2 linked regions of the Coturnix japonica genome follow. The protein of the gene in region 2 interacts with the protein of the main gene of each other region in a pairwise test. Links are inferred from orthologs where the notes say so. Each region holds a gene or a part of one and is shown on either strand. Other genes may lie near its edges.

Region 1 (4,057 bases), on a different chromosome or scaffold from region 2:
TTGAGCAACACTACTCATTTTAGTAAGACAAACACTGAAACCATTTCAAGTTTTAAATCTACATCTTTTCTTAAGTTCAGTGCTGTCCTTATTTCAGCAAAACTGTTTTCATGATAAGACATACTAAGACTAGCTGCTAAAATCTTCCTGGACAAACTCTAAAACCTCTTCTTGACTTCTGCCTTTTTTATCTACAACTGGTTCCAGTAAGGAGGAATTAGGACATGGAAAAAGAAGGTTCTGTCTAGAAACAGAAAAAGACAGAACGTTGTCAAAACATTTTCAATTTACATTCTCAATATAAATATCATAGACTGTACGAAACTGTTCACAAATATCTTTATTACTTACAGAAACCATTTTTTTTACTCTATTACAAAAAAGACTTCTGAATATCTCCCAAGTTTAGACCCAGGATCAACAAATTGGATCAAACAACATCGAAGAAACAGAGAAAGGAGACAGGGTAACGTTACCCTGCCATCTTGGATCTTCACTAAGGATCTTCTCAATCATTGCTTGACTTGCTAAATTCCCTGGTTGCAGATCAGGAATGCCTTCACCACATCCTAGCTGCCCATTCTGTAAAGTTTCCTGTGCCTGAAGTTCTCTGGAATGGGGAAAGAAAATGACACTGCAAAACTGTACAGCTAAAATAACCCTACCTGTCCTACTAAAAACCTGGCCTATTTTATAAAAAAATTATCGTTTAATATAGCTTCTAACAAATCTAAATTGGAATAAAAAAGCAAGCGGACAGTCATAAGGAATAACCATGTCAGACTAATCAAAGAGAACACGTGAAGGAATGCTGGCATTACATATACAGTCAATATTTATACCAGCATTGTACCTCGGTGTGCTAATACACTGACATTCTGTACATGTTATTCATTACTAGTATTGTACCACCACATATGACATGCTTACATCTGCTATCTTAATGCACAGTAAAATGCATTCTTATATTCTGTAGTTACAGATGAAATCATGTTTTTCATGCAAAGCACGCTACGTTTTCTGGTATGTAGTAGTAACAAACATAGTATTTACTGCTTAACAGGCTGCAGAAATTGAAACAGACTACCTTATGTCATATACTGGAGGTCTGAGGTCATGCGGCCCATGAGCAAAGGCACAGTGAATCCCATTCTTCACGCAGTGACCCCGGGCATCTGTTTCATGAATGCATGTTCCAGTCTTGTAATATCTGAGATGGTATTTCCTTTCTGTATCTCCTGTTGTTCGATGTAGGTAAGGGCAACTATATTGTAGAAAGAGGAAAGTTTAAGCATTGCTTTATTTTTAAACATTCAATTCTGAATTATGCTCTCTCATTAACTCATAACAAACAACTAATCAAGATAAATGGTGCATGGGAACTGCTGAGTCACAGCCTGAACCACTGACAGAGCACCTGGAAGAAGAGACCCAGTCAGCCCTGGAAGCACATGCTGCAATTCAACGTGTGCAATTGGAAGACTTTAGACCTCACTTAAGGGCTGACTGCCCCTGAGGAAGGATCTCTTGCTGCAGTGTTTTTCTGTGAGCCTGGCTCTTTGGAGATAGGAAGCATTGCTCTTTTTGCGACATCTCCTTGTGCTGGTCCTGCTGCCATTAAAAACGGGTTGCAGCCAGTGAGTTTACTTTTACCTCTTTAAATCCCAACACAATTAGTGAGAAGACTAAGTATACCAAATTCAGTGCTACATCTCACTCTCAGCGTAACACAAAACACAACCAACAACCAAGATCTGGATGCAGTTCATTCATATTTCCTGCTTCTGTGTGAAAAGACAGTTGCAATTTTTGTTGGAGACATTTCGGTGACTCATATGAACTTCTTAAGAAACGCTTTGCAATGTATGAGCAGCACTGTGCAGCCTTCCTGTTCTGCTAGAACTGATCTACTAATACAGAAAAATGAGGAACCCGTTAGGGCTGCCAGAAGTCTCAGACAGACTCTAGACTTGCACTGAACTCGAAACAAATGAAGCTGCAATCTGAGCTAATGCTGACTGCTGCTAGCTCTCCCACCACTAGCACAATCTGTGCGGGAGTTATGTGGGAAAACATACTGGCAGAGTGTTCATTACCAATTATAACATATGCACACTACATAGGTGTGAATGTTTTCTTAGTCTTAGGTTTAATGCTCACTCCTCCATTTTCATCTGTTTAATTTTGCTGGTTCCTGTGGAAAACAAGAATTAAATGCCTCCCATCCCAAAGTGTTCAGATTTACACCTCACTGCTCAGCTCTGTGTCAGTGGCCCCTTAATGGATGGCAGCATTTTTGATTAGATGTCTGGGCTTTTTCTCTAGAGAAATTACCAATCAGCAGATGCCCCATAAAATGTTAAAGCCTTTGATTACATTCAAATTACTGCTTGAAAAGAGAGAATTATGGAATTCAATTCAAATATCTTGTCAGACAAAACACAACTCCTTTCATGCACAGTGAGAAGGAAAAATACTCAGGTCACAATTTTTCCCACATAAAGACAAAACAGATTCCAAGAACAAGCTGATAAAGAAATACAGGCTGTTTCACAAGAGCCTTATGTTTTGTTTGGTCTAAGACTCACCATTTATGCCATCTACAGCTACAGCAAAAGATTGCATGAGCTTTCATCTCGCTTCTCAGCTCTTGAAGCATCCCCTTATTTGCTTCTACCAGTGCAAACTTGCTCAACTAATATTCTTTTAAAAGCCTGCTTTCTTTATCTTCCTTTAGTACCACTATCACTCAATAATGAAAAGTTAATTTTAATTTTTGTCCCCAGTCAACAAAATGACAAGAACATCCCTTATCCTCTTGTTGATATTCAAGCAAGAACTGCTCACGTTCACAGGTGCGTTACAAACACCTGAAAAGGTACATAACTGTTCTCTTTTATATCATCCCCAAAGATATTTTTTGCTTTTTATTTTGCTTGGGCGTAGTTCTAAATATCGCCGTGCTGCCTATGACTTCTTTGTTGTTTACCTTCACTTGTCACCTGTTGTTTAGTTTGTAATTCCTGGGAGGAAAATCCACCTTCTGTGACTACAGCCTGGAACAAAAAAGATGTCTGATCTGTGATAAGAGCTGCTAAACACTGCAAGAACCAAAATAACTGTCTTCACATTTTAAAACAGGTGAGCAGCATAACTACATATTTCCTGTCTGTTTTTCTGATTTTGTTTTTTTTTTTTCCTGTGCAAGTCTTTCCTTGCTTCCATCCCTGCAGATGAAGCCAGCTCCTCTGTGTTATATGACCGCAATATACCCAGTTCCCCTATACATGCCTTCTTGCCATACTATATATTTGCTCACTCTCATCATCACAAAGCTTCACCCCTTTCCCATGTCATCTGGGGCCTTACCTAGAAGAGACATGTGTCCGTGGAAAAGCAAACCTTAATGGTCTACCCAGGTAACCGATATAAGAACTCCTTCACAGTATCATAGAATGGCCTGAGTTGAAAAGGACCATGGTGCTCATCTGGTTTCAACCCCCTCCACTATTTGCAGGGTCACCAGTCACCAGACCAGGCTGCTCAGAGCCACATCCAGCCTTGAATGCATCCAGGGATCCTGTGGGGGATCCACAACCTCCCTTAGCAACCTGTTCCAGTGCATCACCACCTTCTGGGTGAAAAACATCCTTTTTTTCTCTCTACAGAGCCATCATAAAACAATCCTTCTCCTCTACAGCCCGTCAGCCCCTACACAGAGCAGTTTGCGCATACAATTTCAAAACTGTCAGGAGAAAAATGCATCACAACTGCCAAAAAACGTTCAGGGACAACAAGAACAGCACTAGGAGAAAATAAACTGCTTACATTCTGCTTTCAAAACGGTCACAAAACAATAAGAGAGCTCTAAGTCCATGACAGCCTAAAGAACACATGTTTGTATAAAAGCATACATGCCAAAGGCTCACAAATGACTCACAAAAAGTTTCCTCAGTTAAACTGCAGGATCCCATCAATCAGTTTTGCCCAGAAAAAGCAAAAATACCATCTTTCTGTAAAGCCATTAATACTGTAAGCACCCCAGGACTGAAAGAAA
Region 2 (4,779 bases):
AGCACCCAATGGGGGGCTGCATGTGTCCATATACCACACTCACCTCTAAGCTCCACCTGCTGCTACAGCCCAGCTGGGCTCTGCTATAAGCTCAGCAACCTGGACACAACATCCCCTTAAAAAGAAGAAGAAGAGACTTAAGGATTTAATTACAAAACAACATTTAAAAGTCATCAGGGTTTATTATGATCTCATTACACGCAGCAATGATTCGCTTTGCATGTCGTAACCAGGTTCACCCAGTAGGCGTTACAATTAAAAAGTGGATTTGACCCACGCGACCTGAAAAAGCATTTTCTGCACCTCCCACTGTCCAGGGCTGCACGGCTCTGCCTGCAACTGGCTTTTCCAGGTGAAAAACTCAGAGTTCCAGGCTATGTTCCCACATCCACACGGCATCACAGAACAGCTTCACATCAGCAGAGCTACAGGGAGCGCATTGGAAACAAAAAGAGAACCCCGGGATGACACAAACCAGCTTTTGTGGGTAAGGGATCTGAAGCTGAAAGCACACGCACTGATGGACCTTCATTTATGGTGATGCATGTGACAAGTGCTGCAGCTGTGGCTCCACGAGGTACCATGGATTTGGGTGGATTTGGACCCGGTTTGGGGAACTTTGTGCAGTGATTTTCTTCTTGCTGGATGAAGGACACAGACAACCCAGTGCTAAACACCTTCAGGTGGTGCTGCTTCTTCACATCCCAGAGCAAACAACTCAATTTGCTGCTTTCATCTTCTCTTCATTGGTCCAATGCTGAGCTGTTGGTCGGGGCTGGGCTTTCCTGTGGGTTTAGGGTTGTTTCTTCTTTTCAATCAAGTCTTATTGCTTTCTCATTATCAGTAGTGCTTAGCAGAAAGAGCTGAGATTTGGATTAACTCTTTGGAACCTCCACAACAGGCTGCATTGTGGCTGATTTGCTTTCACAATCCTTTCCTTTCCAGTTTTTCCAGTATGGCCTGAATTCTATGGACAGCTTCTTTCCTGGCCTGTCGGACACCATCCTGCCCACCAGTCTCAATGGAATCCAGTTCTAACAGCAGCTTGGTCAGCATCTCCTCCAGAAGCCTGTAGGATTTATCTGTCTTTTTCCCTACAAATTCATCCACCTCTTGTTCTAACTCTTCAGCCTGCTCTGTGACCTGTAGGATCCTCTGTATCTCTGGCTGGATGGCTGCAGAATTCATTGCAGTGTGATTGCCAGCTTTGCAACCTGCCTCCTGGTTCCCAGCCAGCTGCCTCCGAGTTGCACTGTTGTACATCTGGGGCTGTGCACTGTATTGTACCTTGGGGTTGGAGGGAGATGACTTGGAGTTATGCAGCAGGGAGGGTGGTTTGTGGTCATTCATTGTCCCAGGGTGCTGGTGATTGCTGTCAGAATAGTAGCAGTGTTGGTTTGCACTCGGATCAGGTTTGTCATAAGCAGATTCCTACAATCAGAAGGGGAAAAAAAAGAGTCTACATTACAGAGGCATTAAATGAGATCTGCTCCACTTCAAGACCCGCCTCTCAGGGTCTGCTATCTCCAGTGCTTTCTTCAATGGCAGTTTGGATATATAAGCAGGTGATTTTGCTGGCAGTACTTAGAACCGCTGCTTTGTTTTTGTCTCCTGGAAGCAAACTGTGCTTGGAGAAAGGAGCACTGAGCAGCTGCATGTGTGTATTGCGGGGGAAGGCAGCATGAGCTGAGCTCTGGCTACAGCCAGAATCTTTGTGTCAGAGCCATTAAAGCATCACTGTACCTTCGAGTCCCACACAGGAGGATGAGCTGCAGTCCTGCTGCCAGTCCAGGGTGGTTGTGATTCAGAGAGGAATGGATTCCCATGTGCTGGAGCTGCAGGCCATGCATACCGTGCCTGCACCCCATAGTGAGGGGGAGCCCACGCCTCCTCCTGAGCCCTGGGCTGTGGGTTGGCCCCGGGGCTGTGGTCTCCATATGGATACTGAGGAACGGGCATCCCTGGGGTCTGTGGGGAGAGGGGGACAGATGTAAGTCCTAAGTCAGCTCCCAATGCCTGTGGCAGAAGGAAGCTCTGGGATGAGCCCCAGCACTGGGATGAGCCCCAGCACTGGGACTGCTGCTGCTTTCTGCTCCAAAGCTCGTGACCTCAGAGCTCCCAGCAGAAAGGGGCAACTCCAAGTTCTTACAAGAGCAAGCAGGGCGAGCTGGGTGGGACATAGAAGCCATTTGGGCCCAATTAGGGTGCACTGTGGGTTCACCCTCTATGGGGTGAGCAGCACAGGAGCTCTCGCTTTGCTGTGCACACCCTAAATGGTTTCTTACCTGCGGTGGGGAATACCCAGCAGCCTTTTGCCTGCGCATTGAGCATCCCTCTGCTGGGCAGTCCTGTGTGCCACAGCCCCAGGGAGGGGCAGGAGGGGGGGGTCGATATGGGGCTGAGCTGTCGGTGCTGTAGGATGGACCTGAAGTGCTGTAGGTTCGTGTTTGTGGCAGTGAGGTGTAATGGGGAGGGTATGGGGCGCTGTAGGATCCGTTGGTGTAGGGTGAGTCCATAGCCTGGGGAGGAGAAAAGGGAAAAAGAGAAAGAAAATGAGCTGAAATGTGTGTTAGGATATTTAATGGGTTATTTCTGTACTGAGCTGTAGGAAACAAGTGGGGCTTGAAGCCCATTGTATCCTATGGCATAGAAATGAAGCACAGCTCGGTCAAAGCCTTAATGGACGGGAGGGGGATGGAAATGGACCCTCATCCCCCAAACCCAACATACCGAGTCCGCTCCGTCGGTGTAGGCCCCAAAACCGAACGCTGGGCTCCAATAACCGGGGTTGAAGCCGGGGCCTGGTGGCTCCTATAAGGAAAAACCCCATTATATGGAGCAGTGATAACGGGATAACGGGCTGTGCTCGGTTCCCCCCCCCCCTTTACCTGCCCGGTACGACCGCGGTGCTCCATGTTTTCAACCCGGCACGCTGTAGCCCACCCCACAGCGCGACACAAGGATAAAAGGCCCCCACCATGCGACCAATAGGATGCGAGGACCCCTGGATGTAACCAATGAAAGGCAGCCCCGCTCGCACTACCGGCGCCGCTTTTAAAGGGACAGTGCATCGCTAAGTACCGCCCAACGTGGGGCGGTTCCGCCACCATGAACTACATGCCGGGTACTGCAAGCCTCATCCAGGACATTGACAGTGAGTGTGACCGAGGTTCTATTCATTCAATAAGGAACCAAGGGGAAAACCGGGACCCGGACGCGGGGGACCCCGGTTTTCCCCTTGGTTCCCATTGGGACCGATGTTCCGTACCCCCGCTTGATCCCTTTCCCCATAGAGAAACACCTGGTTCTGCTGCGGGACGGCCGGACGCTGATCGGATTCCTACGCAGCATCGATCAGTTCGGTACGGATATAATGGGGGGGGATAGGGGGGGCAGCACCGGGAACGACACCGGATCAGGGCTTAATAGAACCCATATGGCTCCGATAGGAACCCAGTTTGTGGTTCCCCCATCCCTTGTCATGTTGGACCCCCACCCCATGTTATATTCCCCCCTTAGGGCAGCACTAAGTTCATCCCCCCATTGACTTGTGCCTATGGCTGAGCCCCCCAGTCTTTACCTCCCTTTACCCCTCTTCTCCCTACCCCCCTTTCCCCCCTTCCCCATTCACTTGTGCCTATAGCTGAGCCCCTCATTCTTTACCCTATAGCACCAGGGATCCCTTTATCAGCTATAGGTAGTGGCTGCTTTGGGGTCCTATAGTGGCTGGGTTTGGGGGATCATGTTGTTTAGGGGATGCTCAGCATATAGGATTATAGTGCTATAATGCAATCCAGCTGCTCCCTATGCTTTAGGCTATGGGTTGTTTCAGGTGAGGTGCTCTGTTTGGTGAAAAACTGGGTGGTTTTGGTAAAAAACTGGTTAAAAACGGGGTGTTTTTTTCTCTATCCCCACAGCCAACCTGGTGCTGCATCAGACAGTGGAGCGAATTCACGTGGGCAAGAAATATGGGGACATCCCTCGAGGGATCTTCGTTGTGAGAGGGGAGAACGTGGTGCTGCTGGGGGAGATTGTGAGTGAGCCCCGTGCCCTGCAGCCCCTCACCCTGCAGCTCTGCTTAACAACAGCTCTTTGCTTTGCAGGACCTGGAGAAGGAGAGCGACACGTTGCTGCAGCAGGTTTCCATCGAGGAGATCCTGGAGGAGCAAAGGTTGGAGCTGCAAGCCAAGCAGGAGTCGGAGAAGCTGAAGGTGCAGGCGTTGAAGGAGAGAGGCCTGGCGGTGCCCAGGGCTGACACGTTGGATGAGTACTGATGGGATGGCAATGCTGAGTGGTGCAGGCACTGAAATCATGGCTTCTGTTCCCCCTTGAGGGGAAAAAAGGAGTGATGGCAATGGGGAACCCTCGGAGGTAACTGGATGCTCCGGGGGGTGCAGCAATTTCTGTTCAGAGATGAAGGTCTCTGTTCCTTTTTGGTTTGTTTCTTTTGGCTCCTCGCCTGGAGCTGAGTGAGAGCTTCCCTTCACCTGTAAATAAACCCCTGATCTCAACAGCAACAGCTTGGCTTGTGTTTGGGCTCTGTGTGGTTATGGGCACAATGGGACTCTCCATGACCTCAGGTGCTGGGCCCAGTTCAGCTCTGTTCACTCAGGTGCAGCTGTTTGCCCCCTAATTAGTTAATTACCTGCTGAGTTGATGGAGCATCACATGTGTGAGGCAGGTAGGTAGGAACTGAGTGGGTTGAGCTGAACTGGGTGCTGCAGACTTCAGCACTTGTAGGTAAGGCAGGAAAAAGCAGAGTTTGGGGTCTTTCATTAC

What was found.
Region 1: the proteins of BAG4 (region 2) and UNKL interact in binary tests that used the Homo sapiens proteins (3 or more experiments, as listed by UniProt). The link is inferred for Coturnix japonica from reciprocal best matches to the Homo sapiens genes BAG4 and UNKL.

The regions. Positions count from the first base shown.
Region 1 is NC_029529.1:7,301,224-7,305,280, reverse strand, and holds part of UNKL (putative E3 ubiquitin-protein ligase UNKL), read right to left. Parts: intron 3,057-4,057; exon of another isoform or gene 2,990-3,056; intron 1,265-2,989; coding exon 1,088-1,264; intron 611-1,087; coding exon 477-610; intron 1-476. UniProt on the Homo sapiens protein: May participate in a protein complex showing an E3 ligase activity regulated by RAC1. Ubiquitination is directed towards itself and possibly other substrates, such as SMARCD2/BAF60b. Intrinsic E3 ligase activity has not been proven.
Region 2 is NC_029537.1:3,645,174-3,649,952, reverse strand, and holds BAG4 (BAG family molecular chaperone regulator 4), read right to left. Parts: upstream 3,111-4,779; coding exon 2,889-3,110; intron 2,812-2,888; coding exon 2,731-2,811; intron 2,520-2,730; coding exon 2,286-2,519; intron 1,969-2,285; coding exon 1,744-1,968; intron 1,432-1,743; coding exon 925-1,431; 3' UTR 159-924; downstream 1-158. Other genes in the region: U6 snRNA-associated Sm-like protein LSm1, read left to right, coding at 3,109-3,154, 3,294-3,362, 3,918-4,033, 4,104-4,274. UniProt on the Homo sapiens protein: Inhibits the chaperone activity of HSP70/HSC70 by promoting substrate release. Prevents constitutive TNFRSF1A signaling. Negative regulator of PRKN translocation to damaged mitochondria.